Linked DNA regions of Astyanax mexicanus. The protein of the gene in region 1 purifies or fractionates together with the protein of each later gene. This does not show direct contact. Links are inferred from orthologs where the notes say so. Each region holds a gene or a part of one and is shown in the gene's direction. Other genes may lie near its edges. The genes, in order: psmb3, psme4b, fbxo7 and psme1.

Region 1 (8,359 bases):
TCTGAGAGGACTGAGAGATTGTCGATATATATATATATGTCAGTTTTTGTGTGATTTCATATACGCAGTTTTCGCTGAGTCTGCTTTACTGTAATGTGCTGCTATTTGTTGGACTTGTGCAATAATAAAACAAATAATGAAAACAACACCAGGGCCTTTTTAATTCTAATATTTACATTTTTGTAAATATTTTATTATATATTTTAATGTAATAACACTGAAGATATGATACTTGGATACACTGCAAAGTAGTCAGTGTACAGCTACAGCATATAGCTTTATAGGCCATCCTTTATGTAGACCAGTATTTCTGTTTTTCACATCAGCAGAGAGTTCTTTGCTATGAGATGCCATTTTGTATATCCAGTCACCACTATGAGAGAACTGAACCCAAAACACCAAATTTAACACACCTGCTCCCCATTCACACCTGAGACCTTGTAACAATAATGAGTCACGTGACACCAAAGAGGAAAAAAAAATTGGCTAATTGGGCAAAATTTTCTCTTAGGGGTGTGCTCACTTTTAAGCTATTTTGAGAGCACAACAAATTTACACTGTTGTACTGTAGCTGTACACTGATTACATTGTATCAAAGTATCATATCTTCAGTGTTGTCCCATGAAAAGATATAACAAAATATTAAAAAAAAATTAAAAAGTGAAAGGTTTACTCACTTTTGTCACACTTTTTACTCATCTGTGTGTGTGTGTAACGTGTGCAAGCAACGCACACTTTTGGGTGGCTGACTGGTGACTGTTGTAAGGGTTTTAATCAGTCTGTGGCACACCTGTATTTCCTGTCGCCAAGATAGAAAAACATCGGATATTTACCTGAACACACTTCATTTCCAGACGGCCACGCCCATCTGCATAGATTGGAACTATTTTTAAGCTATGGTAACAAGATGTGAAGATACAGTGTTACAGGGTGTAAGATAGCAATGAGTGTCGCAACACGTCTTACACAGGGTGTAAGATAGGGCCCATAAACCGGACGGCGCTGCTACCAATGCAACAACCAAAATTTAACATTTCAGCAAAGAAATTGGCGACAAGATACAAAAACAGGGCAACATTTATTAGTAGAAAGATAACAGTTCTTGGATGTGAAGATGAAACACTATTAATCTGACTTTTTAGCCACAAAGGCCTCCAGCAGTTTAAAGAGCCTGTCTTCCCTCGCTGCAGCTTCTTTATCCCTCCGTTCCTCTCTTTCTCTGTACTCCTTCTCCCTCCTCTCCTCTCTGGCCAGCAGCTCCCTCTCCCATCGCTCCTGTTTCTCTGTCATCTCCTGCTCTCTCCTCCTCTCTCTCGCCAGCGCCTGCTTCTCCCTCTCCTCCTCTCTCTCCACCGCCCTCCTCTCGCGCTCATCCTCTCTCTCCGCCGCCCTCCTCTCCCTCTCCTCCTCTCTCTCAGCCTCTCGCCGCTCTCGCTCCTCCTGCCTCCTCTCCAGCTCCTGCAGAGCCATCAGCCAGTACTGCTCCCTCCTCCTCTTCACGGGCGGAGACTCTTGAGCCGAGGAGGACACCAGAACAGCCGAGGTGAAGGGGGTGGAGGGGGCAGTGGAGGGGCTGGTCAGAATGGAAGGAGTGAGCGGGATCTCTTCGCTCAGAGCCTGATCCATGATTGCAAACCATTTCCATGGAGCAGCGGATGAGTCTCCCCCAAACGAGGAGAGGCTTTTGATGTCCTGTAACAATAAGAGTATAGATTTCAGGTTTCAGGTTATAGGTTTTTATTCAGTGGGGAAGATCAGAACTAGTGTTTGAATTGGTCCACAGCAGAAAATTTGTTTTTCTTCAGTGAAATTACAGATTTTCCAGTTTTAAGGTAGTAAAATAGTACTAAATGCCTGACTACACCCTGCATGTACATCAGACTGTAACGCTGTAATGCTGCAGAATATTGTTGTTTTTAGAAAGGTATATAACCTTTTACATTGGAAGTTAAAGATATATACAATATATAATTCACACTATCATGCTGCTATAGCAAACTTGCACTCTGGACTACCTGCCTACTCTCCCTATTTTTGTATTTCTCTTTATATCTATTTTATTCTATTCTTTTTTTTCTATTTAAAAAATTGATCTTTGGGTCTAAACTGAACCGTGAGATTAGAATTTTGTTCCACCTCATGTACCACATGTGATGTGAATTGCAATAAAGTCTCCTTGAATCCTATATGTTTATATACTAAGGTTTAAAAAAATATTTCTGTAGAAGTTTAAAAAGTATCAACTCAAGCTTTTTACTCTTTAAGTAAAGTTGTTTAAAAAAAGTACTGGTTTTAAAACTACCTAAAGTATAAAAGTAAAAGTCATGTAAGGGGAAAACATAAAAAAAGCCATTAAATATATGTTTATTTTACTTCTCTACATCCAATCACAATCAAATTCACTCTATCTGGATGCAGAGATTTATCTGGATAGGAGTTTTACTAAACAATTAGAAGCCGGAATGAAAACTTTAAGTAATGAGAAGCACTCAACAGGATCACCCCTCCCAGGTTTAATACCACACTTACCTTATACTTCTGTCTCAGATTCTCCCATTTCTTTTTCACCCATGTCGGCGCCACCTTACCCTCCAGCTCCTTTTCCCTGACAAACTGCCTTCAGAATCAGAATTAAAAATTTTATTTCAAACATTAATAAACTGGAAAAACTGACCATTACAGTTACATTTACATTTATAGAGTGACTCACTCGAAAGCTCGCAGGGCCGTGTTCCTCTTGCCAGTAAATAAGTTCCTATTGCTGACCCGCCACACAATAAGATCTGCTGTGTTGGCATCAGTCCCTAAAAACAGACTTTAATAATGAAACATTCATGGCAACTATGACTGACGCAAATACGTACAAGAATCGACAATGGACACTGGCACGGGAAAATAAGGCAGGAGGGCAGGAAAAAAATACAGACAGACAGTGTAGAGCTACTTTGAGCTTGTTAAAGGTGTAAAAATAGCAATTCAGCAAAAGTTCATCCTCTTTATAAAGTTCACAACACAAGTCAATTTTACACCAGATATATCCTTTAATAATGCATGTTTTTATTGTTTTTATTAATTATATATCTTGACATAATATTTTTTTTTTTACAAATACAGAAATAAATAAAGAAAGAAATGTGGAAATAAATAAATTCAAGAAGAAAATATTGTAAAAAATAATAAGCAAATAAATAAATGTTGAAATAAATAAATGAATAAACAAGTAAATGCGTAATATATAAAGAAATAAAAATAAGTATTTATTTATTTTTTTATTTATCTCTACAATTATTTATGCAGGTATCTGTTTATTTGTATATTTAGTTATTGATTAATTTATTTGTGCATTTATTTATTTATTTATACTTATGCCATTTTTTGTCCTCCATACAATTCTGCATGTTTAAAAATCGACATAAAAACTAGATAACTTTAAAGAAATGAAAAGTGTGGCCCACCTAAAATGTTTCATTCGTATTGAGAAAAATACTGATTTTAAAATTTACAAAAAAAAGTTTAGGAAAGGGCCAATTTTATGATTTTTATTATATCTTGACAGGTGCAGATATAATTCAACATTTTAAGATTATATAAATATAAATATATAAAGGATTCTATTATAATTACAGGATTTTTAGTAAAGTTTCGTATCAAATATTAAACTTTTTTTATGTGATGCTTATAGAATAAAAGTCCCTAAGATTGCCTAGCCTTGCTGATGAACTGCGCAGCAGCAGATGCAGTCGAGCCTACAGGGCCCTGAACGCATCTGCTACACAGGTTAAGGTGTATAGGAAAATTAGAATAAGTAAAACAAGGCATTATAATTTAGATTTTAGGTTTGAATTTATTAAATAATACATTAAAAGCTTTTATCTGGAGATGAACTAGTGAACTGACTCTGACTACTGTACTAAACTAACGTTACTGCCTTCAGCTGCATATATAACCATCACCCCGCAGCCTTTAATCTGATTATTACTGAATTATTAGTGAAGTGCTGAGAAAATACTTACATTTAAAGTTTCCAAACGGCCCGAGTTCCAGCGTTACCTCCACCTCGCTCTCCATCTCCTCTGTTATTGTTTTACTGTTCCTCATCCCATCTCTCTACAGAAACAGAAACACACAGCTTTCCTATTACCGCCCTCTAGCTGCTCAAATACACAGTACTGCATCTCAAACTATTACATTTTCACTGAAAATTACTTTAATACAGTAATTCAGTTTACAATGTACATCTATATAATCTTTTGCTGTTGATTATTATGGCTTACAGCCAATGAAAACTCCAAAATTATTATTATTATTATTATTTTTACTAAATCCTGTTTTTGAGTGCATTACAGGCAGAAAATAGCATTGTTCTATTTTTCTTCACTTGAATATTTTCATCACTAGAACATAAGTCAGGTCTGAATGACTAATGGTATTTGAGTGATTTACAACTGGTTTATTTTATATTTATATTTATATTATATATCTATTTATTGTCCAGCCATGTGGCACACTGCCCACACAGCCCTTAATGGCTTTTTCATACTTACATTAATTTTACTCTTGTATTTTAAGCAGTTTTGAAACCATTACTTTTATACTTTTACTTAAAGAGTAAAATCCTTAGATTCATACTTCTTCAAACTTCTACAAAAAGTATTTTAAACCCTAGTATGTATACAGTATTCTACCTACAGAGTAATAAATGAAGATAATTTAGAGTAACTATGTAAGAACTTAGATAGTTTAGATTATATAAATAATTATTTAAATTACAAAGATTATTTAGAGTAAGTAAGTAATGAGATCATTTAGATTATTAGAAAATTATATCAATTATATATATATATATAATTATGTAAATTATAAAGATCATTTAGAGTAATTATGCAAATATTTAGATAATTTAGATTATTAAATAATTATATAAATTATATAGTTAATGATATAAATGATAAAGATAATTTAGAGATATATATATATGTAAGTGGGCGGTGTGAGTAGAGCGGATGTGAGGTAAGCGGGTAGGCGGGACTGAGCGCTGGGTGAAAGTGTGTAGTCACTGTGTGTGAGCGGATCACAGCGTTAATAAGAATATCTGCGGTTTATTAAAGTATATGAACAGTTTTTCTCTGTAGTTTGGGTGTTTCTTCAGCAGCGCCAGCATGGTAAGTGAATTATTTAGCCTTTCTTTTATACAGAACAGCAGAATCTACCCGGCCGCCTGGCTCAGTTAACCGGGTGGCTTAGTTTAGATTAGCAGCTAATGCTAACCTGCAGTATCATGCTCATCGCTAACATAGAGACACTTCTAACGGATTTTAACGGTCCAAATATAACTCCAGTATTAATAATAAATATATTTTATATATTTAACCACTATAACGGCATAAATATTGCAATTTTAACTTCATTAAACTAGCCAAAATAAAGCATTCTAATGACTGTTGTGAAAACGAAACTGTTAACCGAACTGGCTAAGCTATCAGCTATATGCCGCTAAATGTAGTTATATGTTTGGGTAACCGGCTAAAGCTAGCTGTTAGCTAAGCTAAGCTAGCTAAATTTCTCCAAAGTTAGCTAATGCATAGATTTGATTAAATTTAAAATTAAAAAATATAATACTAATAATACAGAGCACATAGTTTTTTATAGTTCTCTGAACTGAAAATCTAGTTAGCTAGCTATTTTTTTTTTAATAAAACCATAGCTGAGCTACTTAGGTTAGGAAGATTTAGTTTTAGCTAACTAAAATATATAACTAGTTTCCAAATTAAAATTAATTCTGTTTGTGTTTTAAGATGCAAGACTAAAACTAAGTTGCATTGATGTTAACGTCAAATGAACAGATTTTGCACACTTTGCTGGTTTATTATTGAGCTAAACACCAATGCAACTTTAGATGTAACTAGTCTTTTTTTATTTTGCACTACTGTGGTCTGTTTATCGTGGTAGAATCATTTGATTTTCTGATTACTCGTTTGTGCCATGGATTGCAGCAAAATGTCAGTTTTCTGTTTCAATATTCTTGTATAAAATATGTCCTTCACTTCATTTAAACTGAAGAAAATCTCACTCCTATTAAATGGCTTTTCTAAAAAGTTCTAAAAATATGAAACCCATGTTTTTTTTATGGATTTAGGCTGGAGTAACCTAATGTCATTAACCCTGGCATAAGAATATGTGATGTACTATATTAGATTATAATTCATTTATTTATTTATTTATTTTTCTTCCATTCCCCACTTTTCTTAGAATTTAATTTCTTAGAAGGTATATATATTGTATAATGTGTGTGTATATATTGTTTCTAAATAATTTATCTGTAAAAAGCACCAACTGCTTTCTTTTATAACAAAATATTCTGCATATGCTGAGGGTAAGCTAAGCCTCAAGCGACACCACAAGCATTTCAGTGCAGAATAATAATGATGATGATGATGATCAACATAATAAACAAAAAAACATTTGACTTACCGCGAATATAATAACCCAAAACACTTCAGCTCTACTGTGAACTGGACAATATTGTGGCACTTTGCAGAAGTTATATAAAATATTATTTGTACAATAATATGTTATAAATCTGAGCATATCCACCAGTTGTTTTCTGTAACTCACTGTAAATCCAATCTATTACTCCTGCAGTCTATTATGTCGTATAACGGAGGGGCCGTCATGGCGATGCGTGGGAAGAACTGTGTTGCGATTGCGTCGGACCGGAGGTTCGGAATCCAGGCTCAGATGGTCACCACTGACTTTCAGAAGATCTTCCCCATGGGTGACAGACTCTACATCGGCCTGGCAGGACTGGCCACAGATGTGCAGACAGTGTAAGTTTAGCATTAATGGACGCATAAGGTGCCCACCCAAGGCCCCATGTGAAGAGTTTGCAAGGCTTTGGTTGATTAGAATATGGGTAAAGAGAAAAGGCTGGGCCCTATGATTACCCTTTTTTAATTTTATCCTTTTGTTATTTGATGTGAATTAACACTGTAATGTTATTATTGTCTTTCTTCCCCCTGCCCCTCAGATCTCAACGACTTAAATTCCGCCTTAACCTATATGAGCTGAAGGAGGGTCGGCAGATCAAGCCAAAGACCTTCATGAGCATGGTGTCCAACCTGCTGTATGAGAGGAGGTAAGTGTGAGACATACTCAGCTCATTCTCTGTGTCTTCAAAAACGTAAACACTCCAGATAAGGGACAAGACAACACCCATCTTCACTGTACATCAGCTCATTATACATTTAAACATATTCTCAGTGTTTAAATCCCACATATTATAAGCTTCTGTTGTCTTTGGAGTGACAGAGAGAAAGCAGACAGGGAGATACTGCAATCTATAATATGGATTATATATCAAATAATATAGAAAGAATACATTGACTTGTTATGGTAATTTACATTAATTAAAATAAAATGTAAAAAAAGATCTGAATTGTTGAGATTTATTTCTCAATTGAAGACATATCAAAGATGAATTTCTTAAAAATAGCAGCATCCTATCCTTGTGAATGGCTCCTATAATATGCTTTGTAATTTTATATAGGTTAGGGTTAGAGTTCTGCTAAATCTGTCTAGAATCCTGAAGGTTTAGCTGTAAAAATGCAGTAAAGCATGTATTTAATCTGGAGCCTCACCGATAGGAAACATAGAGGGATTGATAAAAAATCTAAAAAATAATCGCCAGATTAGTCGACTGCTATAATATTTATTATTTGCAGCTTTACTGTCTTATATAATCTTTGTTGTACTTCAGCTACATGCTTTTTCTTGTTTTAGGTTTGGACCCTACTACATTGAGCCTGTGATTGCTGGTCTGGACCCCAAAACCTCAGAGCCCTTTATCTGTTCACTGGACCTGATTGGATGCCCCATGGTAACAGAAGACTTCGTGGTGAGCGGCACGTGCTCAGAGCAGATGTACGGCATGTGCGAGTCGCTGTGGGAACCTGATATGGTGAGAGAAGCTTTTCAGTATGACTGATTATTGGTAATATTAAATTTCTACTCTGTATTAATATGCTCTCTAATAATACTTTCGTTTAGGAGCCAGATGACCTGTTTGAAACCATCTCACAGGCAATGCTGAATGCTGTAGATAGAGATGCAGTTTCTGGTATGGGAGTTATAGTCCACGTCATGTGAGTACAGCCTTCCTTTAATATTTCGCCTCACATACTTTTACGCTTCCTTTACATTGGCGTGGATTTCAAATCTTTAATAGGCATTGGACTATATACAGGCTACAAGTGTAGGTGATGCAAAATCCTTTTTCCTAGGCAGTAAAAGAACTTATTTACACTTATACACAATTTGGAGAAGCTGCCTGTCCCTCTCTACTCATAGAAATCAACTACAG
Region 2 (8,106 bases), on another chromosome or scaffold:
AAAAAAAGCTTTCTGCTGATCAAAGTTTACCAAGTGTACTCCACACTGCCTGCAGCCCAATCAGGATCAAATAGTCATCATTTGTCCAAACGGAGGCTGCAAATCCGCAGCAGGGAATTCCCGTAACCTCTCATGAAAGTCACTGCCCAGAAAACAACACAGTCTTTCCACAACCACAAACTAAACTAAGCTCAACTAAATATCAAATGTCAGCCTGCTATCCCTGATATCCCTGTGGACCAACTTTCACTGCCATTCCTTTTACAAATGTGCCTCAAGCACCTCTGCTTAAAGCATTATGAAGGAACAGCCATGCTGGAACCGCTCAGCCTTTCATTACTGACCAATAATAGACACAGAGGTAGAGTGCTTTCAGAAAGCTGGGGTAAAAGCTAAACATTGCGGTCCCATATTCAATCAGTCAATCAGTCACAGAACATTTACTTCCGGAAGAAGCTTGCAAGAAAATGTATTGCTAACAGAACACTGTTACTGAAAAAAAAATATTGTGCACTATATTGTTTTTTATTAATATATTTTATTTCCAGACCTTACTAATGTCCCTGTAGCCTGTCATTCTTCCCAGCTCTGTTTAATCCATTTTATCAAAACTCTAGGGGCAAAATGTTACAACAAATTACAAATCAGAGCTGACAGTTAATGTTCTCCTCCAAGTGTGTTGACCAGTCCAGTGATGATCTTTTACTTCTGCCTTTGGCATCTTTAAAAAGTGGTGTATTAGGATTTTCAGATATTTTAGAATGTGACTTATTTTATTTTGTTAAAATAAAATATAAATTATTAATTAAGTACATAGAAAAATGTTGATATACTGTCTATGTATGTACACACACATATATATATATATATATATATATATATATATATATATATATATATATATATTATGTTTATTAAGTTTGGTTATATGTAAGTTTGGTATCTATTTACCATAGTAAGGCAGCTTTGCTAAACAGGGCCTAACTACATTTTAGGTAAGTATGTGTTTCAGAATTAGATATCCTGTTTGTTGGTTAGTCACATTTAAAATATAGGCAGACTGCGGGACTGGGATTTTAAGATAAAATACAGCAAGACTACAGGACTGGATTTCAAGAGAGAAAAAAAGCTAAATTACTGGTCTCTAAATAGTGACAGCAGAATATACGTGAATAAGCATAAGCACATATATGTTAAGTCAATTCCCAAATAAGTGGAATCAGAGAATCAACTTTTGGAATTAAAGACCAGCTTAAACAGAATTTACGCATTATATGTTGCACGCATTAAAAGCATGAGTCTGAACAACAACTGCACACTAATATACTTACGGAAAAACACTGTTGGATTTAGTAAGATTATGCTTTTTACATTTTCATTATTATGTAATATACTAAATCACTTATGTATACGGAAATGGATGCTGTTTTTAATGGATATTGTTTTTGTGTCAAATCATGACTACAATAATCTGTTGCATCTTATCACATACTTTTATATTTATAGTTTTTTAGACACATTGTGTTTTTATTTAAATATTTCCTGATGTGGGGTTGTATATTTGTTTTGTTATCTGTGGCATAAAATTGATGTTCAAATAATGTGTTTCCCTCTCCTATGTATATGAATAGTGTATGTCAAAATAAAATATGAGTAGTTATTGTCAAAACCATAAGGGTAAATCTACTTTATGGCCATCTTTTAGATGAGTTGCATAATTTTCTAATCAAACAGCAATGTTTTATTTATCTACTTTCTGCTGCTAGTGTAAGCAGTGATGTAAGGGTAAATACACACTGTGGAAAGATTAGTATCTGTATACTGAATTTCCACATTTCCCAGTAACTTTCCCAGTACTGCTTACAGTATTTTATCTCTGTTCCAGGTGAACACTTTTCCAGGAGTTTTCTGATTTGTCCTGAAGAGGGCAATCATGTCTCAGTTGTTAGTAGAAGCTGAAGGAGAAGGAGAACGTGGCCTCATCCTGCTGGGTCAGTGGGGATTTACTAAAAATGTCCTCTAATGTGATTTATGGTGACAGTGTGTGTCTCCTGGTCAAGGAGCTGTTTCCTGCCTATCTGCACAGATTGAGGGCACACTTTATAAATTGGCACAAATATAACAGCTGATAAGATATAGAAATAATGAATTATACTGAGCTTGCAGAATTGCATTATTAGACAAACGGCAGGAATAGTTAGTAAATCTATATCTGGTAGTTGAAAAGCATTGTTTCATGAACTTCATTTGGGATTTAAAAATATATAAATGATTTGAGCTATAGGGCCACCTGCATATCCTGTGGTACAACTGCTGCAACTGAAGTGGCCTGTCTTTGAGAAGCTAGCGAGAGGCTGGTTAATCCAGGATCTCATTAAAAATACCTATGATCTAAGAGGATAAATCTGCTTTCCTAGAACTAATTGACCCTCCGGGCAAAGAGGTTGGTTTGGTTGGCTAAGAACAGGTCAGCGCATGCAATTGGCCGGCCAGGACAATGTGACATTTTCTGATTGGCTGTAAGGGATGCAGGATGTGAGCTTGATGAGATTAGACTAGATATCTGGCCTAGCTCCAGGTAAAAGGTGTGTGTCTGTGTGTTTGTTTATGTGGTTCCCAGCAGAAACTTGTGTTTGGAGTTTGATTAGTCTGAGGTGATTTGGCCTGGCACAGAAAAAGTGGGTTTTGGTGTCACCCACTGATACTGAACCACTGAGGATGCCATGCTGCTTGCTGTTTTGTGGTAGACCAGTCTGATTTGATGCAAACATTAGGTTTTCATTCAGGATCTGGCTTCATATAACTTATCAAATGTTTATAGACTGAGACCTTTCAACAGGTGTCTGGTGTGTTTCTGGAATTAAATACTGCATTCACACTGGCCCTTTTTGGTTCACGAGATTTGTGAACTCTATATTAGACCTTCACTACTTTAACTAAGGAAGCTAAGAATGTTCTTAACTCCACAAGTTAAGAACGTAACCTCAACCAGGCAACTAACTATGCAGTGACTTAGCTACACATCCTGACTACATTAGTGTTGGAACAATATCACTGCACTGGGTCACTGAATAAAGAAAGAGCAAAGAGGATTGAAGTGATCTCATTATGCCATCGGCACTGATAAACCATTTAAACTGTGTGAATACTAGGGGTGTCACGATCTCGATATTTTATCGAAATCGAATCGAAATGAGGTCACGATCTCGAGTATCGAAGTCAAAAAGAGGATCGACGATCCCTCCCGCGCGCGCTACGCAAATAGCGCAGCGCGCTACGCAAATGGCGCGGCACCAACACAGCGCATCCTATTCATTTAAATAGAGATAGCCACTGCATGAGCGCAGTCGGCGGGAGTGTGATCACTGTTTTTATCTGTCCAACGGGGGAGGGGGGGGCGGGGGTTGGGCGCGCAGGTTTTGTATCTGTATCTAACGGAGGGGTGGGTGCGCGCAGGTGAGAGCGTGTGAACTCGCTGAAATGCGTGTGTCAGTGTGACTTGAGAACACTGACTATAGATCACAGTGAGGTGGATTAAAAATCTTAAACTTATAATTGACTACACCTGTTGCTTTCCATTGAATTAAAAAAACATCTTTCTCTCAGATAAAGTAAACACAAGCGTGTTTCTGACTAAAATAAAAGCTTTTCAGGAGAGATATAAGTTATGTGTAAATATTTATAAGACAATACCCACATCACTTATCTAACCAGCCTGTACTGATTTCTGCCCCCCAATAATGCTTTCAATAACCTCTTGTAACCCCTGGGAGCCAGGGGTTACACTCTAATAGCCTTTAATAGTCTTCAGTAGCCTTTAAAAGACTTACCTGGCGGCTGTGGTGTGTCCACTAAACTCCGTAGTTATAAACATCCTGAGGTTAGCAGCGCGCTAACTGACCTGTTTATAATGTATTCCGAGCAGTGCCTCCGTGTCGGCTGTTCTAACCTGCTGCTGTTAGCTGCTTGGGCTGAAAGATGAACTGTAGTGAGCTGTATTATCCGGTTAGTGGGGTTAAAACCTTTATTTGTTTACAGAAACAGTAAAAACGGACTGGCTGAGCTCTGTAGCCCGTGGCTGGGCTGTACTGAAGTAGTGACTGAGTGAAAAGAGCGGGGCTTGTGCTGCTGCTGCTAGTGGTTGGATGAAGAACTGCAGCTTCATGTAATGAGCAGTTTCACCAGCCATCCACACACAGCTCTGATAAACTGCTTATTTTAATAGTGCACACTGTTGCTACCAAAAAAAGTCACTAGATGGCATTACCATATATATCTTAATAAATAATAATAATAATATTTATAATATTTATAATAATAATAATAATAATAATAAATATATTATTTAAATTTTATGAGGCATAAAATAATAACAAGAAAAAAAAACAAGAAAATCGAGAATCGAATCGAATCGTGACCCTCAAATCGAAAATGAAATCGAATCGAGGATTTAGAGAATCGTGACACCCCTAGTGAATACGCTGTATAGGAAAAGGGAAAAATTATCAGTTTGTCAATTATTGTAGTTGATTTTGATTATTTATTTTGACTTCACATTTTCCATCACATGATCTACAGGCTCATAGGAAATGGTTCTAAGATGTTTTCATTTAATAGCTAAAAGTATTATAGTATAAATATATAGTCATAGTCACATGTTTATGTGGATTGCACACCCTTTAATGTTTTAATGTTAAATAACTACAAAAAAACAGCTTTGCAGATTTATCAGATCCAGGCAGGTATGATCCCTATGTGATTGTGATTGTGTGATTGTTGGAGGATTAGCAACAATTTTGTTGATTAAAGTGAAAGGAGAGAAAAAAAAACACACTGCTTCATATATAATCATTTCTTGTTTCTATTTTGTCTCTATTGTCAGTCACTACTGATGCTAATGTAATGACTGCCTGCACTGATCCATGCCCACATTTCATCCACGTTTAATAACTAGATGAAGTGGCGGAAAGGCACCGAGAGGGGCGCCCTCTGTGTATGTGCAGCATATGTGCAGGGAGGGAGGCTCTGCTATGCTACCCACCGCCAGTTGTGTGTCCAGTTCGTTAGCTATGTGTGTGTCCAGGAAAGTGAAGGGAGACTCCTAGCTATATGTGGGTGACCCAGGCTAATGTTACGCGTGTCAGAAGGAGCGAATGAGCAACTTTCGTCCACGTGCTTGAGAGATCGTGTCGACAATAAACGAGTCGAGTTCTCGGGACGACAGACGGGGAGTCTCGGATGTGTCAATAAAAGATTTGTCAGGGGAACTTGTCAAGGACTAAGAGGATAGATACTACAGCAAACAAGTCCAGGAGAGGATCCAGCTATTGGGGGAGTGTAATATGAAAAAGGACCAGGAGGACACCTTAGGTTTTGTCCCTCAGAAAGACATTGTCTACAACAAACTCCTTCCTTATGCAGACAAACTAGACAATGAGTCTAATATCATTTTGGCCAGCATCAAGGGGAACTTGGCTCGGGCTGTCCATCTCAGGGAGCTGTGGCCCGGAGTTCTCTTCTGGACGAGAAAACTCTCGACGTGAGTATAGCTGCTTTTAGACGTCGAAATAAAAATGTTAAGTTAGTAGTTAGTGTTATTTAGCTATGTTCCCTTCAGCAAATACACCACACACACTTCAGGGTTTAACCGGCAATAAGCTGAACTTAGCCTAGCTAGCTAATGCTATATAGCTAACCCAAATAAGCTGAATGGCTGGGCCTGCTAGGTTATAGCTATCTAAGCTAGCTAGCTAGCTAACGCTACGGCTGTGTTATACTAAGGAAGCTAGATGAGTTAGCAAGTTCTAAGTCACTCATTTGCTTAGATGGCTAGGGCTAGCTAACGCTAGTTAGCTTAGCGTATCTATGTGTAGCTACGTTAGCTAAGTTATTAATTTTATCGGTTTGTTTGTGTGTAAATGAACCGACAGTGCATATAGTTAGGTTTTCTGTTTCTAAATAGTTAGTTAGCAAGCTTTAGCTATGTTAGTAATTTTATTCGAGTTTTTTATGTTAGTTAGGTAATTAACTAGATAAACCTACAGTGCAGATAGCTTGTTAGCTTAGCTAAATATGGCCCTAAAAGTAACGTTAGCGAACCAGTTCTTATCTAGTTAATATTATCTGTTAGATGTGTGTTTCGCTTTAGCGTTTAGCTTGTAACTTACCCTAGCTTGTTGACTTGCAACCGGTGGTTCGCTAGCCAGATGAGTTAGCAAGTTCTGAGTCACTCATTTGCTTAGTTAGCTTAGCGCTAGTTAAGCTAGCTAACGATAAGTAAGCGGTGTATAGCCAGGTTAGCTAAGTTAAACTAACATTATAGGATAGCTGTGCGTCGCTTTAGCATTAAAGCTAGCTTATCTTGTTGACTTGCAACCGGTGGCAAGCTAGCTAACGATAACTCAGCAAGTTGTGGCTAATTCCAGAAGCTGCTCACTGACCGTCTTTGTTAAAGACCAGCTAACAGTAGTATGGGCTAATAATATAGCTAGAAAAGTGGGGAAACAGGGAAGCATAAACTATATTTTACCCTACCTAGCAGTTATATGGTCAAAAGCTTTTGTTTAAGCTTGTCATTAAGGAATTTGTGTGATTTAGCTTGTGGTTAGCTAACTATAGCTAGCTGATAGTTTTCAGCTCCCACTTCATGACCTGACATATCATGACACTGCAAAACAACAATACTCTTAGATAACCTAGTGTGAGCTAGCTCTCTGTCTGGCCTCTAACAATCTGCAGTTTGTGTTGAAAACGTGTTTATTTTGTGTTTTTACAATTTACTGTACGTTCGGTCATTTACAGAACACTGCTACACACATTTCTACTCAAAACAATATAGGTTAGGTTAGCTATATTGTCATGTTTTGACTCTAGATGCTGTCAGTTGTTTTGACAGACAAAAGACAGCTGTGTGTCCTACGTTTTTCAGTGGAAAACAACTGTACTTGTTGTGTTTTACTATATTTTTTTTAGACATTGCTACACTCTTTTCCTGATACAACATAACATTACCCCACTGCATTTTTTTCTTTTTTTGTGCATCACATGACCACTGTAGCTACATAACATCTGTCCATTCACAAGTTTAGAGTCACCTATATTTGTGCTGGTTACTGATGTGTTTATGAACTCTGCTTTCTCTCTTTGATAATTTTTTCTGTATATCACTGGCAGGTATCTTCGTCTCTATGGCAGAAAGTTCAGTAAGGAAGACCATGTGCTCTTCATTAAGCTCTTGTACGAGCTGGTCACCATCCCTAAGCTGGAAATCAGCATGATGCAGAGCTTTGCTCGACTCCTCATCAATTTACTCAAGTACGCAGCTTTAAACTAGTTTTACAATACTGAGAAGAAAATGTAATTTTGAAATAAAGGCCCACGTTATTGAACATGCTTTCTTATGCCATTTCTAGGAAAAAAGAGTTGCTGTCACAGGATGACTTGGAGTTGCCTTGGAGACCCTTGTACGAGCTCTATGAGAAGATCCTTTACTCAAAAACCGAACATCTTGGTCTCAACTGGTTTCCAAAGTAGGTTTCTTACTTAAGGTCTTCACAAATGCCAATGGAACTTTGTCTTTTTTTAAATATTAACATTGCACCTTGTGCCAGATGTTTATGTTTGGGATGCACACACACTGGTAGTAGGCAGTCCTAGTCTTAAGACTGTGTTTATGGAAAAGGAAGAGCTTCTGAATTCTCTGTTTACGTCTTTAAAGTTCAGTTTGTGGATGTTTAAGTATGCTGAATTTCAGTCTTGGCCATTCTAAGAAATTATAATTCTTCTTAGTACCACCTTATTAAATTAGCCTCACATAAAATACAGCAGCTATTTTTAGAAGAACCCATTAAATTGTAATTACTGTGTAAGATCTCAGTTGATGTGTTTAGTGTTGGCTTATGCGTCTTTCCTTTTCTCACATTTAGTTGTCGAGCAGAAGCCTCCCCTAAACAAAAAATGCTTAATTATGTTCGCAAGCGGTAAGCATAGCCAGTGTTTTTTACATGTATTGTACTCTACTTACTTGTATTGTACTCTTTATAGGGCAGCTTCTGGTATTAATTGCATGCATCTGAAATTAAACCGAATTCAAAATCCACTGCTGGT
Region 3 (7,860 bases), on another chromosome or scaffold:
ACAACCAACAGAGCAAACCGAGCCGTGCCATTTCAGGCAATAGGGGTGGGGGCATTATATTATGCACAAAAATAATAACGTGCCGCTTTTAAGTAGTAGAGTAGGTGCCCCATGCAATGTTTAAAGACAAAAAAGATGAGCGTATCATTAATAATTCACATTGGGTTTTAAATTTAATAATGTCATAATTTCAACACATTTCATTCTCAGTCAATTTGGCTCCCTGCAACTGCAAAATGGTTGAGGCCTAACGCTGGCTGCGTTGTCTGCGTATGCAGAGCGGCGGCCCTGATCGCAATACACGAGAAATATGTCTTTTCATATTTAATAAAAACAGCAGATTGCAGCATCTACTTGTGTTTATTATATGCCACAATCTAATAAACGATAGAATTTAACTTAGCATTATTAGAGACGTTTAAAGGACGGAAGACCATAAAAGACGTTTAAATATGTTTGTTTAAACATCGCATAATAGTCTTCTGAATGTTTATTGGTGGTCCTACAAACGTTCAATAAGAACGTCCCTTGCAACTTTTTGGCGAACCTTTTTTAGTTAGCTGGGAAAAGCATTTCTTTTGTTTTATTTAAATTTTATTTATTTATAGTTACACATAGTTAAAACTAAACTGTTGTCATGTGTGAAGTAAAACGCGTTACAGCAGTAGTGAGGAATTCAGCACAGTTTGTTGTTTATTTTTTATCAACTATAAAAATATTCAATCTATTTTTTTATTCTAATCAACATGGAAACGGATTTGTCCTCTTAAAGTTAAAAAGATTTGGAGCTTTTTTAAAAAAATAATAATAATTCAAATTAAAAAATAAAAAGATTCTTTAAAAAATCTAAACAAAATAAAAAATAGATATATTAAATTATGAAAAATACAAATAAACCGGATAGTTTTAGCAACCACAAAAAAATTAAACTTTAAAAAGCGAAAAAACATAGTTGGCATCAGTCTACTACGTTAAAAAACAACAATAAAAAAAACCTAAACCCCCCCCCCCCCCCACAAAATAATCAAATATTAAAAAAGCAAAATAAGAAGATTACATGAAAAATCATCCACAAAACAACTAAAAATAAAACAACTACCCGCAAAAAAAATCCTCAAAAAATAAATATTAAAAAACGACCAAAGTTTACATAAAAAACAACCATAAAAAAACACCCCCTCAAAAAAATAACCACATAAATATTTACATTTTAAAAACAAAAAAATAAAAGATTACAATAAAAAAAAAAGTTGGTAGATATTTTTAATCAGATTTTGGACTTGGATGTGTTTTTTTTTTATTGTTTGTTGGCTTATTGCTATTACTTTGGAACGTTCATGTCAATGACATCACAGTTTTACTGCTGTGGATATAAATATGACGTCACTGTTCAACACTATAAAAGGCTCAGCAGCACGAAAAACTTCAGTCGTCAACGGATCTTCGCAGCGACAACATGTGTGCAGTTCGAGGGATACTAGGAGCAGCCAGCCTTGCAGCTCTAGCTATAGCTGCCGGTGGATCGCTTTACTACCTGTACCGATCCAGAACACAGAAGCCGACGACAACGGAGGAGACTACGGTCACTCCAGTGGAAGGAGACCCTGAAACGGTGGAGGAGAGGCAGGCTGAGCCGATGGTTGAACCTGTACTCTCCGAGACTGTGATGGAGTTGGTGGAGGAAGATGGAGGAGTTGACTGCCCCAAGGAAGAAGATCAGGTCACTCTCATTATGGATGAGGCACCAGAAGCTCTCAGCCTGCTACAGGTCACTGACTCAACAGAGTCAGAGGAAGCTGAGGTGACCCTTAATACAGAGCTTTGTGAGAGTGTGGTGGAAACACTGGTGGAAGATGGAGGAGTTGACTGCCCACAAGAGGAAGATCAGACCACTCTCATCATGGATGAGGCACCAGAAGCTCTCAGCCTGCTACAGGTCACTGACTTAACAGAGTCAGAGGAAGCTGAGGTGACCCTTAATACAGAGTTTTGTGAGAGTGTGGTGGAAACACTGGAGGAAGATGGAGGAGTTGACTGCCCCAAGGAAGAAGATCAGGCCACTCTCATTATGGTTGAGGCACCAGAAGCTCTCAGCCTGCTACAGGTCACTGACTTAACAGAGTCAGAGGAAGCTGAGGTGACCCTTAATACAGAGCTTTGTGAGAGTGTGGTGGAAACACTGGAGGAAGATGGAGGAGTTGACTGCCCCAAGGAAGAAGATCAGGCCACTCTCATCATGGATGAGGCACCAGAAGCTCCCAGCCTGCTACAGGTCACTTATTTAACAGAGTCAGAGGAAGCTGAGGTGACCTTTAATACAGAGCTTTGTGAGAGTGTCGTGGAAACACTGGAGGAAGATGGAGGAGTTGACTGCCCACAAGAGGAAGATCAGGCCACTCTCATCATGGATGAGGCACCAGAAGCTCCCAGCCTGCTACAGGTCACTTATTTAACAGAGTCAGAGGAAGCTGAGGTGACCTTTAATACAGAGCTTTGTGAGAGTGTGGTGGAAACACTGGAGGAAGATGGAGGAGTTGACTGCCCACAAGAGGAAGATCAGGCCACTCTCATCATGGATGAGGCACCAGAAGCTCCCAGCCTGCTACTGGGCACTGACCCAGCAGAGACTAAGGAAGCCGAGACGGAGGCTGAATGCAGACCCGAAGCTGAATCCAAAAAGAAGCATAAGAGACGAGGGAGACGAGGAAGATCACAAAAACTACGAAGACTAGGAAGACTACGAAGACGAGGAAGACTAGGAAAACGAGGAAAGAGGCTGTATAAGTAGGACAGTGTAGGAATAAGTGGATTTGTGTCAACGCAAAATAGAAATAAATCTGCATAAATCAAAATTTACAGTGTAAGGGGTCTTTTTTAGGTCTTTTAGTCCTTTTGAAGTCTTGTATGTGAAGTACAGTAGCACACTCCAGAAAAGAATAAAAAAAACAACCTCAAAAATAATTAAATATGAGAAAACAAGCAAAAAAATATTACATAAAAAATCAACCACAAAAAAACAAACAAAAATACCCTTAAATAAAATAAATAAATAAATAAAAAAGGTTTACATAAAAAACAACCATAACAACCTGGCTGAAGCTGAGGTGATAGTGGAGCCTGTACTCTGCGCGATTGTGATGTAGTTGGTGGTGGAAGACGGAGGAGTTCACTGCCCCCAAAAGGAAGACCAGGCCACTCTCATTGTGGATGAGGCATCAGAAGCTGCCAAACACTGGTGGATGATGGAGGAGTTCACTGCCCTCAGGAAGATCAGGCCTCTCACATTATGGATGAGGCATCAAACGCTTCCAACCTGCTACTGGACACTGACCCAGCAGAGACAGAGGAAGGAAACTAAGGTAAAAGATGTAACTGCTACAGAAGCTGAGACAAAGGCTGATAATGAGCAACCAGGAGGTTGTTGGGGCGAAGGTGGGATGCAAACTTTTGTCACGAAAAGTAGGTAGTTAGAGCAGGTATTTATAGGGTGGTTTATTGATAAGAGGTGGAGTTAGAGCGTGGAGTTTGGGTGTGGTCCTTCTCCCAAACTTTTTTTTACATATCATTTATGGATATGAAATATCCATAGCAAGCAACAAGAAGTAACATCTTCAGAAGCACGTTTACAAAATTAGCGGTCAGTTTCCATATCACACTTATATTTTAAAAGAAAATCTTTAAAAGAAAATGTTATATATTAATTTCAGCCTAATTTCTCTCACTTTGTTAGAAATTAAATATTTTAAAGGTAAAGACCACACTATACACTCTACTATATAATACTATTCCAAAATGATATTACTTAAGGAATTGTAGCAATGTCTTTCTGAAATAATTCTCTTATCAGCTTATTATTTTGCTGGTGTTTAGCTGAAAGCATACAAGTGAGTGACAAGGAAAGTTTACACCTCTCAGCAGTAAATTTGCACCAACTGGTATAGCATTTATCACTGTAGAGTATTATCACTGTAGAGTACTTGTCAATTTTGTATTTATTAATTAGGTCAATATAACTGTATGGTCTACTATTTGATTCAAGTAGTTGACCAACTAAAATAAAATGATTCCAGTTTTCATAAAAAAGTGACTTGAGTGACATAAATTTATCCAAGAGCAGCGTGTAAGACTGGTGGAGGAAAACATGTCAAGATGCATGAAAACTGTGATCGAAAACCAGAGTTATTTGTTTTCTTTGCATTATTTGAGGTCTGAAATTCTGCTTTTTTATTTCAGCCATTTCTCATTTTTTTGCAAATAAATGCTCTAAATGACAATATTTTTATTTGGAATTTGGGAGAAATGTTGTCCGTAGGTTAAAGAATAAAACAACAATGTTCATTTTACTCAAACATATACCTATAAATAGCAAAATCAGAGAAACTAAATGGCTCTCTTTTATTTTTCCAGAGCTGAACGTCATTAAATATTGCTGACACATTGTCCACGTACGTCAACTCGACGCTGGACTTTTATTTTGAAAAACACCGGTTACTTACAAAACCAAAACCATCTCCGCCTGCAGGCTCTCAGCACAGTGACGTCTGTATCAACACACTTCAGGTAATGTTAACTAATGTTAGCGATACAGTAAATCTACCCGAGTAACAGAGTTTTAGGTCTATTCGGACAGAACGGCGCAATTTTAGCTAATCAATCTGCTGCAACTTCGACAAGCTAGTTAGTTAGCTTAGCTAAAAAACTGTTTATCGAGTGAACCCCCGCTGCTGTGTAAAGTGAATGTGACAGAATCATGTCAGTCTTTACAGAACGACAAGAATAACGCAGACCACACAGGACTTCAGATATAACAATGATAAAACATTGGTAAAAGAGAGCAAGGCTGCTGTATGTGTTGTGTGATACTCAGACAAATCCTAAGGAAAGCTCATCTCCACACGCCTAACGTTACTCCACTTTCTCAAATGAGCTAAGCTAGGGTTAGCTAGTTACATTGGCTAGCGTTACATAGTTAATTAATTCTACAGTATTTGTTTACTAGAAAACATTGAAACATCACATTGAATTCAAACAGCTAACATTTTATTGTCCTTGAGTTTAGTAGGACGTCCTGTGTCTCTTTGGGTACACCCCACCAACTTCACTCTTTTGAGTTCCATTATTTCCAAACCAAAACGTGTTAGACAAACAAAAAAATTCTTTGTGTAAGGGTCTTTTTATGTATACTGCATATGTGTTCATTAATGTCTTTTATATACAGTGCCCTCCACAAGTATACAGTTCAGTACACAGTTCAGAAGATAGCGTCTTCTGTTTGAACCCACACATTTTTCTTGTGAGCAAAAATATTGGAACAGATAAACTTAAAGTCAATTAAAGTGAAACATACTTAATGTTAGGTTGCAAATCATTCGCTTTCCAGGCAGTGGATTTTGGGTCATTATCTAGTTGCATAATGAAGGTTCTCCCAAACAGTTTGGTTTCATCTTTCTTTAAATTAACATTTTTCTGTAGACTTCTGATTTAATTGTACATCAATGAACAAGAATCATGACACTACTTCCACTGTGTTTTACAGATGAGCTGGTATGTTTGGAATCATGTTTAGATACTTTCTTTCTCCACACTAGCCTTCCATCACATTGGTAAAGGTTAATCGTTGTTTCATCAGTCCATAGGAGTGTCTTTGTACTGCTTGGTAAATAACAAATTAATAGTGGTTTGTATTATCTGGTGATGCCTAAATACTTTTGTTCACAAAGTCTTCGGTGAACAGTAAATTGTGATACCTTCACTTCCGCCCTCTGGAGGTTGTTGCTGATGTCACTAAAGGTTGTTTTAGAGGTTTTCTTTAAGTGGTTGTCTTTACAGCTCTCTAAATGTTTCCGTCAACTGCTGTGTTTTTTGCTTGTTCTACCTGTTTATCCTATGTTGTTTAGTACACCAGTGATGACTTCTTCTGCAGGAAAGTTGTCCTGGCTATGGATAATATTTATGCAATGTACCAGATCTAGATGTAAATACTTGGAAATAAAAGTTAAAATGTAGATTTTTTTCTCTCTAATCTTTTAGTGTCAAATTTAAATGTTTTCAGTCTACAGTCTTCAGTCTTGCACTTAGGGTGAATAAGGTTTAAGTGAGGCGATAATACATTTACAGTACCAGTCAAAAGTTTGGCCACACATTCTCATTAATTTTAAGGTGTATATTCTTATTAAAACATTAAAACAACTAAGAGACGCATATGGAATTACATGGTAAACAATAAAAGTGTTTGGCCTCACCTGACCTAAACCTAACTGAGATGATGATTTGGGATGAGCTGGAGAACAAAAGCAGCAACTATTGTTCAGCACCTCCAGAAACTCCTTCAAGATGCTTATAAAACGATTCCAGCTAACCCTGCCTCATAAATTCACTGATAATAACATAAAAAAACAAAGTGTGCAAATCTGTACTTAAAGCTAAATATGGATATTTAGGATATCTTAAGTATAAAACATATTCTGGTTTGTTTAACCATTTTTGTTTACAAAATAATTTCAGATGTTATAGAAAAGAAAGAAAACACATGTGTGTCCAAATGTTTGATTGGTACTGTGTAAGTGATTATATTGATAAAAAATGGTTATTGTCTTCTCAATTTAGCTGTCAATGACTTTAATGTAATTTTCCTTTGTACAGTATGAAGTTAAGGGTGAGAATTAACAAGCAGACCAGCCGTGTGGAGCTGGAAGAAGCAGAGCCCACACTGACTGAGCTCAGTATCCAAGTGAAGGAGGTGTTGTTGCCCTCAATCGGTTTCAGGTAAGTGCCTTTTATAGCCACAGTAAACATTTTCAATGTTTTTGTCTTTTAAATGGTAGATATACTGTTGATTGTGTGATATGACCAAAATGCATTGGCTGCTGAACGGAGTTTCATAAGGTCACAGTCATTTGCATAAGTGCTGAGTATAAAGCTCCTTTGATTCATGCACATGTTCATTCTTCATGCAGTGCTGATACAGAGTTCAGTCTGTCTCTGAATGGGAAGGAGTCGCTGGTGGACACTGGGCAGACGCTGTCCTCGTGTGGGGTGGTGTCCGGAGACATGATCAGTGTGATTTTGCCTCAGAGCATTGCTGACTCCGCCCCGCCACAGCCCTCTACTTCTCAGACTCACAACAGAGCAACAGATCAGCTGAACAAACAGCAGAGTCAGAGTCACACTGTATCAGCCATGCAAAGCTCCAGTCAAGTGGTGAGTACTGTTATCTGTCAGACAGATATGATCAAATCAAATCTGTGTAATGTTATTACATGTTCTGATATAGATTTGTCCACATTAAAGAGGCATTTAAACAATTGACAGATGTGGGTCAGGTTAAAGTGTTTCTAGATTTGAATCAAATATGTGGTTTGTGGAATCTGGTAAAACTTGGCACTTGACTATATGTAAATAATATATTTTATACTTTTTAAACTTTGAATGAGTAAAATATAATCATCTGTACAGTGTTAATGTAACCAAATTATGTGCAAAATTATACATACAGCTCTGGAACAATTAAGAGACCACTTCAGTTTCTGAATCAGTTTCTCTGATTTTGCTATTTATATGTATATGTTTGAGTAAAATGAACATTTCATTCTATAAACGACGGACAACATTTCTCCCAAATTCCAAATAAAAATATTGTCAATTTAGAGCATTTATTTTCAGAAAATGAGAAATGGCTGAAAAAACTAAAAAGATGCCGAGCTTTCAGACCTCAAATAATGCAAAGAAAACAAGTTCAGAAATCAGTATTTGGTGCAATAACCCTGTTTTTTAATCACAGTTTTATGTATGTTGGCATGTTCTCCTCCACCAGTCTAAACACTGCTTTTGAAAAACTTTATGCCACTCCTGGTTTAAAAA
Region 4 (8,237 bases), on another chromosome or scaffold:
CTAGATACTATAGCAACACTATAGCATCCAAACAGTAAACTCTTATCAACCATTGCAATGGGAATTGTCTGGGAAACCACCTCAACCACTTAACATCATAGTAAATAGTAGTAGGAGTTATTTACTGATACTAATATTACAAACAGCATTCATTTATATACATATTAGCAGTGGCATTGTGGATTATATTATATAGTTCTTTAAAATTTATATACATTTTTTTTTAATCCTCAATTATATCTATTTGACAATGTGATATTTGTTTTGCATAAAATACAAGCAGTTAATTGTATTTTCACTTTTAAAGCTAAAATTTGGATCCACTTTTACAAAGAAGAAAATGTCATATGTATATATATATATATATATTAGTGACTCACAAAGTTAGTATGATGGAGACTTATTGGGGTGAGAGTGGGGTCTTATGTCACATGTGTCCCGTACAGAGTTTATCTGTGGATGAACGCTCATCACCTGCTCATCCTTATTACAGGAAACATTAAAACTCAACTCACGGCTGTATCAGTTTTACCTGATTTTATTAATGTACATTCATTTATTATTTTTTGATTTACTTTATTGTTAATTTATAAATGAATAAATTATATTAGTTAGTCTCAGATCTAACTTTTAGCAAAATTTTTCCTAAATATCTTATAATGTTATAAAGGAAATATCTTATAAAGTTTAGTCATGTTCCCACAATAAGATAAATACATGATTGAGCCGCTTAGTCTAATGGGTTAAATTGTTTTGTGTATATATATATATATATATATATATTTATTTCTTAGAATTTTCTTTTTCATTCCTGTTTTTTTGTACATGCTCTAATCTACTGATAATAGACGTCATAATAATAAATAATGTTTATTTATTTATTTATTTATTTTAACATGCTCGGCTCTATTGATAATGCGTGCCATAATAAAGGATAATGTAATGTTTTATTTATTTATTTATTTTTTAGAATTTTTCTTTTTAATTCCCTGTTTTTTTTTAAACATACTCGACTCGATTGATAATGCGGGTCATAATAACGACTGATTAATTGATTGTTGTGGTAAATAGTATCTTCTGTTTGGCTTCTTCCAGATGAGTCATGTCCCTTATAGGGTAAATGGGATCAGCTCAGTGAATCAGAGGGTGGTGATGTCATGCAGAAAGAGGGAAGGTCAGCAGCAGAATTCCTGTTGGGGGGCTGGACAGAGGGGAGGGGGGGGTCCTGTTTCAATGTTTCAGTGCCCTGTGTCAGAAAGACTGGGGTTGGGGGGGTTGGTTGTTTCTCTGTGTGAGTGTGAGGCAGGACTTCCTTATGGGCGTGGTGAGCTCATGTCTCGCATTCTTCTTCTCCAGCTCTGTGTTTCAACACCACCAACTGCAGAGAGAACTCCAGAAGCTCCAGACCAGGCGGGGCTGGACCAGCACCGGACCCAGTGTCCTGTTTCTGCTTTGCCCCCTTCTATAAATAAGCGGGGTGATGTAGGAAGGGGTGTTTTCTGACGCCACGGCCCAGGAATGGCTCCTGAGTGACGGGGGGAAGGAGGGAAGGAGGGAAGAAGCCCCCACAGCTCTCTCTCCATGACTGGGAGTATTTTTGGCCGTGTTGTCATCTCTCCGTAACACGGGCGTATATATAAAGGAGAGGCTGGAGGAAAAATGCATCTGTACAGCAGTGCCCTCACACACTACCCTCCTCTCTCTCAGAAAGTTCTGATAACTATCAGCACCAGCAGCGGCAGCAAGCCATCTGCCGAAGACTCCAGCTCTGCTAAAGCCGCTAACTTCCAGAACGCAGAGGAACCGTTGGCTGGAAACATGCCTGCCTTCGCCTGTTACGACACTGCTGCTTCCATGAGGCCGCATTTGTTCACATCCAGAGCTGAAATCATCATAACCCGGCCTGATGGAGTGGAGAGATCTGTTCCAATTCATCTAGTGAAGCAAGGGAGTCATCTAGACCTTCTGGGATCTACAACAGAGAATGGGTCTAGTAAAAAACCTGGATTGACCAATCATCATCAATCATCAACACGCGAGGATGTTTCAATATATGAGAGCTTGCCAGGAATTATTAGAAATATTTGCAGAGCATCTGAGTCTAAGGATGAAGAGGAACCAGTAGGCTTGTGTATCGCCATCAACGATGCGACGACTCAACAGCAACAGTCGTCACAAGGTTCTTCACAAAGTGTTGCGTCAAAAGACACAAGTAAAGAAGAAGAGGAAGATGAACAACAAGAACAAGAAGACAACGAAGAAGAATATGAAGAAGATGAAGAAGAAAAGTCGTTCTACCCAATCAAAAGCAAAGACTCAACCAGAGTTCCATTAGAGCGACAGCCAACCGAAGAGTACGAATACGACAAAGACCCAGTCTTCGAACTCAAGATTCTCCAAGATTCGCCCCCAACCGTGGTCAACAATAAGACCAGCAGCAGCAGCAGCAGCTCCAGCCTTAACGACAAAGTGAGCCAATACCTGGCAGAGGTGGACAAGCAGAACAAGTACCTCCAGGACAAGAGGAGGTACCGTTTCCACATCATCCCTGATGGAAACTGCCTTTACCGAGCAGTCTCTAAAGCCGTGTACGGAGACCAGTCCATGCACAAAGATCTCCGAGAGCAGACGCTCTACCACATCGCCGACCACCTCGATGAATTCAGCCCCATCATCGAAGGCGACGTGGGCGAGTTTTTGATCAACGCGGCGCAGGACGGGGCCTGGGCCGGATATCCCGAGCTTCTTGCCATGACTCAGATGCTGAATGTCAACATTTACCTGACCACTGGAGGCAGTCTGGAAAGCCCTACCGTGTCAACCATGACGCACTACCTGGGAGAAGAAGACCTGTCCAAACCAGCCATTTGGTTGAGTTGGCTGAGCAACGGACATTACGACGTGCTGCTGGACCAATGCCAGCCCAACCCCGAGTACGACGACTGGTACCGTCACACGCAGGTTCAGCGCAAACGCGATGAGGAACTGGCCAAATCCATGGCAGCGTCCCTGTCCAGAATGTACATTGAGCAGAATGGCCTTCACTAAAAGGAGCTGACCAGATACACAATGCACTGTTCCAATGATAGCATCTACTGTACTGTGCTCTTTATATACTTTATATACTGTATTTGTTTTGTTTTCTAAAAGGATTGCACTTCTGATTCCAAAATCCGTTTGGATTAAGTTGCCTTAATTTATTGTAGCTGTGTGTGTGTGTGTTTGTGTGTGTTTTTATATCAGTGTTTTTAAGTGCAGCGCACAAGACATGATGTGTAGAATGTGGAATTATGTGGAAGCCTGTTGGCTGGGTGTTTGTGTGTATGTGTAAATATGAGTGAAAGTACTGGGAAATTGTGATGGTGATTTATATATATCTATATATTTTTTTTCCAAACTTATTAAAAAAAGTTTATCCTGCTTCTATTGGAGTAACTGTTTCTATTGTGCAAAGAAAGCTTTCTACTACAGCTCTGGAAAAACATAAGAGACCACTCCAGTTTCTCTGATTTTACTATTTATAGGTTTATGTTTGAGTAAAATGAACATTGTTGTTTTATTCTATAAACTACAGACAACATTTCTCCCAAATTCCAAATAAAAATATTCTCATTTAGAGCATTTATTTACAGAAAATGAGAAATGACTGAAATAACAAAAAAGATGCAGAGCTTTCAGACCTCAAATAATGCAAAGAAAACAAGTTCATATTCAATATGTAAGTGAGTATAATAAATAAATAAAATAACCTTATTTCCAAAAGGCATTTCCAAGGACTGACTTTCAGCTGGATATTTTTGTTGGACCTGGCAACCCAGGCTCGGCTGCTCTCGCTAACCAGCAAGGTGAGGCTCAGCTGTATCTCCAAAACGCCTATGGTTTATTAAAGGTTGATGAAACGACATTGAAACAATGTTGTCCTTTCAACTGTGTTTTACTTTTCAAATTGAACACCAAATCCAACGTTGATTCAACCATAACATCAACGTTTCCAGCTGGCATTTCAACATTGAATAAATGCTGGAATTGATTTTAAAAAGTGAATTAACGTTGAAATAGCAGTTGTTTCAACGTTAAACGTTCAACCTTAATAAACCATCCCCGCTGGCATTTCAACGTTGAACAACCTTGATGTTATGGTTGAATCAAGGTTGGATTTGGTGTTGATTTTGAAAAGTGAATCGGCGTTGATATGACAACGTTGTTTCAACGTCATACGTTCAACCTTAGCTTACTAAAATGAGAAAATCCTATGGTGAACAGTGTTAACAATAAACTTAGATTACTGCAGTAAATACAGAGTATAAAGAAAGTTTATACCCACCACCACTACCAATCTAATTACTGAACATCTGACATCGAACATCAAAAACAGTAAAACACTAAAACAGTAAAACTATTAGAACATGAACATGGTGTTAAATAAATAAAAACAGTTACTGCAAATAGAAATAAAACACTTTTTAATTTCTCCATCCAAACGTTTTTAGAAATGAACGTTATATGGTGATGAAATGTAAAATGCTGATTTAAAAGGAAGAAGGTTGAGGACATTATATTGATTCAACATTAAAATTTCAATATTAGCACAACCATTTAACATTAAACGTTGATTCAACGTTGTTTCAACGCTGAAGCAACAACAGACATTACTTTAACCACATTTTAACGTTGATTCTAAGTAAAATTCCAGCTTGGTTTGTTTGGGTGCGCAGTTTGTTCGAAAAAGTTCAGACTTTAATTTTGTAATTTCAAATTAAGAGTCCGCTCTCCTCTCGCGGCTGGGATGGGAATTACTGATTAAATACAACTCGATTTAGTTTCACTTTCACCCTGTTCTCTCAGTCTCGCGCCTCGTCGTTTGATCGTCGAGGATAAATTATATTTTTACTAAATTTCACAGTCAGAGTTTCAGTAGTGAGCAGAATTTTACCTGTAGCTACACCTGAACTTTACCTGCACAGAAATGACTTCTATGGATATGAGCCCTGCGTCTAAGAAAGAGGTGAGCTGTGGATTTTGGTTAGTCACTGTAGGCCTGAAAACTCAGATACTCCATTTTTATTACAGCTCTTCTTTATACTGCATTACCTCTTATCTCCTATACTCCAGGCCTGCAAAATACTCTAGCTTTTCTTTATATAACAACAATAATACTTTTTACTTTTTATCTTTTCTTTTACTTATTTCTAAAAAAAAACACACACACACAATACAAACAGAGACGTCCAAGATACATTTATAAAACATGCAATCACGTTTTTTTAATGTATTTATAATAAAATCAGAGAACTATATTAAAAATATATATGTTTGCAGTAATATCTACCCATGTTCTTATAATCTCACTAAAATTATACACACACGTGGACAAAATTGTTGGTACCCCTGGGTTAATGAAGGAAAAACCCAGAATAGTCACTGAAATAATTCGAATCTGATCAAAGTAATATAATAAATAAAAAATTCTATGAAAATAAACCAATGAAAGTCCAATGTTGATTTTGAATAGAATGATTTAAATTAAAAAAATAAACTTTTAATTTATTAAATTATGTGACCAAAGGGACATGTTAAATCAAGGTGTGTCCACTGTAATTAGCTAAATATAGGGCTGATCTTGGAATCATGTTCTCCATGTTCACCAGTCTTACACACTGCCTTTGGATAACTTTAAATGTTCCATGACTTCTGTCCAGGCCTGTTTCATAAGTTATTTTTTTAAAGCATGGTTAAAACAGAATATCTGACTTTCATCTGTTCATTTTCATAGAATTTATATTTATTATTACTTTTATAAGATTCAAGTTGTTTCTGATACCTTTGTGGGTTTTTCTTTAATTAACCGAGGGGCACCAACAGTTGTGTGCACGTGTGTATGTAGATATAGGTCAGAACTGTTCATTTTTGCTCTAAACATCCAGAAAAAATAGAACATTTTTTTATTTTTTTAATGTTGTTAATCAGAATGTGTTTGGAAAGATCAAGCTAGTTTTTTTTTTCAGTAAAGCATAAGAATTACAGGGTCATTATAAAATGTAAAGATGTTATTTTTATTACTTTTAACTCTTTTTTTTTATTTCTGTACTGTCTCTTAACATTACTTTGAACTTCTCTACTTTAAATCTGATGATCCTCTGTAAGAACAATAACACAATATAACAGTATGACGTTCATGTTAGCATTTATTTAATTATTTATGTATTTTACAGGTTGATGGATTCACTAAGAAGTCCATTAAAGAGGTAAAGCGTTTTCTTGGTTTGTAGACTCTCCCAAATAAAAAAAATATATATATTTTTTTTTTCACAAGTATCTCAGTCTCAGACTCCTCTCATTTCTCCTCTCTGGCACAGGCAGAGCAGCTGGTCTCAAGTTTCTTCCCGCAGATGATTGCCAAGATGGACAACCTGTTGCAGGTAAAGTGTCTGGTTCTGATACTTTAGCTTCTGAAAGATTATGATATGATATCATAACTGCAGATAGAACTACAGATATATATATATATATATATATATATATATAAATATATATATATATATATATATATATATATATATATATATATATATATATATATATATATATATCTGTTATTGATTTTAGGCCTCCCTGGGTTCAGAGGACCTGTCTGCTCTCAGGGCTCCTCTGGACATCCCGATCCCGGACCCCGCCAAAGAGGAGCTGAAGAAGAAGAAGAAAAGTGAGGTAGAGTATTTATTTACATCCAGACCAGACATTAAAAATCTACCAGTTCCTCAGAGATACTGATGACCTCTCAGCGAATCACATTGCAGGGTCAGAACTAACTGTGGCATAATGGATGTTAATGGATATTGATAGATAAAGCATTGTAAGTTTTATCTTTCACACAGAAAGAAGGAAAGGATGGAAAGAAAGACAAAGGAGATAAAGAAGAGGAGGAAGGTAAAGTATATCTTGCTCTGATACTGGACACAGTTAAAGCTGCACTTACAACTCATTACATGTGATAAATTTCATCTTATATTTTTAAAATGAATGCAAATCCATACATCGACTTAAGCCCTATCTGGACAGGATTAGTTTCTAGTTTCTCAGGGGGTTCTGGGGTAATTTTCTCTTTTATGGGTTTTTCTATCCTCTGTGATTTTATTCCTGTCCAGAACGATCATGTAGGTGTTTTATTTCTCAGACGTCCTCTGAGAAAATTACAGGCTGAATTATCTACTGTTTGAACTCCGTGCTCCTCCGGTAATTTTAGTCCCGTCCGGACGCACATCTCTGAGTTTCGTCTCCTCGCCTTTAAAAAAATAGATATTTGTTCACTGCCGTGCACCGTAATTACACTTTGGGAGCCACGGTTTCTACAGAGATCCACGTTAAAAAAAAACACAACAGCGAGTGGAAATGGAGGACCGAGAAAAAAAACACTGATCCTCCTGTTTTTACAACTGCAGTCCGGCTCCAGGAGTTTTATCACTAAAGAGTAGAAGTGTGAAATATTTTTCACAGACGCCCCCTGAGAAACTAATCCTGTCAATAAGTATATATAACAATAAGTTATTATTGATAAGTGCCTTTATGCTGTTTTGAATGTAAAAACGTTGTCCAAATTAACAAATAAAATATCTGATATATAAGTTTTTATATAACTATTAAGAATAAGAGTGTTAGATTGTGTAGTGGTTATCTCTTATTGCACTCTTCATGCTCAAATGTTAACAGGATTGTTTTTTTATTGGTTTAGCTGGTCCTCTCTGTGGTCCGATTGCTGTTAATGAGAAAGTCGAGAGTCTCATCAAAGAAATTAAGCCTCACATTCAGACTCTGAAAGAAAATCTCAACACTGTAAGTGACTCTTCTCATTTATAGTATTAGGTATATAAGTATAATCTTAATATTATATATATATGAAGTTTGGGTGTTGTGTAAAAAATAAAAACGGACTACAATGATTTGCAAATCCTTTTCAACCTACAACTGTGTAAAAAATGAAGAGATCACTTCAGTTTCTGAATCAGTTTCTCTGATTTTGCTATTTATAGGTTTATGTTTGAGTAAAATGAACATTGTTGTTTTATTCTATAAACTACAGACAACATTTCTCCCAAATTACAAATAAAAATATTCTCATTTAGAGCATTTATTTACAGAAAATGAGATTTTTTTCCAAGCTACACCAGTATATTCAGCTTTTTTGTTTAATAATGATAAAAACTCAATTGTGTTCAGGTATCAATGTGGGTGCAGCTCCA

The links.
Region 2: the proteins of psmb3 (region 1) and psme4b purify together in Homo sapiens (affinity purification with mass spectrometry; 3 studies listed by BioGRID and IntAct, counting the BioPlex papers as one, with this or other methods). This does not show direct contact. The link is inferred for Astyanax mexicanus from reciprocal best matches to the Homo sapiens genes PSMB3 and PSME4.
Region 3: the proteins of psmb3 (region 1) and fbxo7 purify together in Homo sapiens (affinity purification with mass spectrometry; 4 studies listed by BioGRID and IntAct, counting the BioPlex papers as one, with this or other methods). This does not show direct contact. The link is inferred for Astyanax mexicanus from reciprocal best matches to the Homo sapiens genes PSMB3 and FBXO7.
Region 4: the proteins of psmb3 (region 1) and psme1 purify together in Homo sapiens (affinity purification with mass spectrometry; 4 studies listed by BioGRID and IntAct, counting the BioPlex papers as one, with this or other methods). This does not show direct contact. The link is inferred for Astyanax mexicanus from reciprocal best matches to the Homo sapiens genes PSMB3 and PSME1.

Annotation. Positions count from the first base shown.
Region 1 is NC_064412.1:56,741,532-56,749,890, forward strand, and holds the start of psmb3 (proteasome subunit beta type-3), read left to right. Parts: upstream 1-5,001; 5' UTR 5,002-5,159; coding exon 5,160-5,162; intron 5,163-6,642; coding exon 6,643-6,827; intron 6,828-7,027; coding exon 7,028-7,135; intron 7,136-7,779; coding exon 7,780-7,957; intron 7,958-8,046; coding exon 8,047-8,141; intron 8,142-8,359. Other genes in the region: si:ch73-193c12.2 (putative uncharacterized protein DDB_G0271982), read right to left, coding at 1,126-1,692, 2,530-2,617, 2,711-2,804, 4,014-4,098. UniProt on the Homo sapiens protein: Non-catalytic component of the 20S core proteasome complex involved in the proteolytic degradation of most intracellular proteins. This complex plays numerous essential roles within the cell by associating with different regulatory particles.
Region 2 is NC_064422.1:31,571,876-31,579,981, reverse strand, and holds the start of psme4b (proteasome activator complex subunit 4B), read left to right. Parts: upstream 1-5,013; 5' UTR 5,014-5,342; coding exon 5,343-5,539; intron 5,540-7,173; coding exon 7,174-7,314; intron 7,315-7,412; coding exon 7,413-7,529; intron 7,530-7,925; coding exon 7,926-7,979; intron 7,980-8,106. UniProt on the Homo sapiens protein: Associated component of the proteasome that specifically recognizes acetylated histones and promotes ATP- and ubiquitin-independent degradation of core histones during spermatogenesis and DNA damage response.
Region 3 is NC_064409.1:44,922,280-44,930,139, forward strand, and holds the start of fbxo7 (F-box only protein 7), read left to right. Parts: upstream 1-4,462; 5' UTR 4,463-4,560; intron 4,561-6,642; 5' UTR 6,643-6,643; coding exon 6,644-6,765; intron 6,766-6,956; coding exon 6,957-7,200; intron 7,201-7,860. Other genes in the region: uncharacterized protein LOC125798983, read left to right, coding at 1,457-1,768, 1,937-2,788. UniProt on the Homo sapiens protein: Substrate recognition component of a SCF (SKP1-CUL1-F-box protein) E3 ubiquitin-protein ligase complex which mediates the ubiquitination and subsequent proteasomal degradation of target proteins and plays a role in several biological processes such as cell cycle, cell proliferation, or maintenance of chromosome stability.
Region 4 is NC_064413.1:749,169-757,405, reverse strand, and holds the start of psme1 (proteasome activator complex subunit 1), read left to right. Parts: upstream 1-4,811; 5' UTR 4,812-4,966; coding exon 4,967-5,005; intron 5,006-6,212; coding exon 6,213-6,245; intron 6,246-6,356; coding exon 6,357-6,419; intron 6,420-6,606; coding exon 6,607-6,708; intron 6,709-6,875; coding exon 6,876-6,927; intron 6,928-7,729; coding exon 7,730-7,830; intron 7,831-8,214; coding exon 8,215-8,237. Other genes in the region: transcriptional regulator ATRX, read left to right, coding at 1,660-3,048. UniProt on the Homo sapiens protein: Implicated in immunoproteasome assembly and required for efficient antigen processing. The PA28 activator complex enhances the generation of class I binding peptides by altering the cleavage pattern of the proteasome.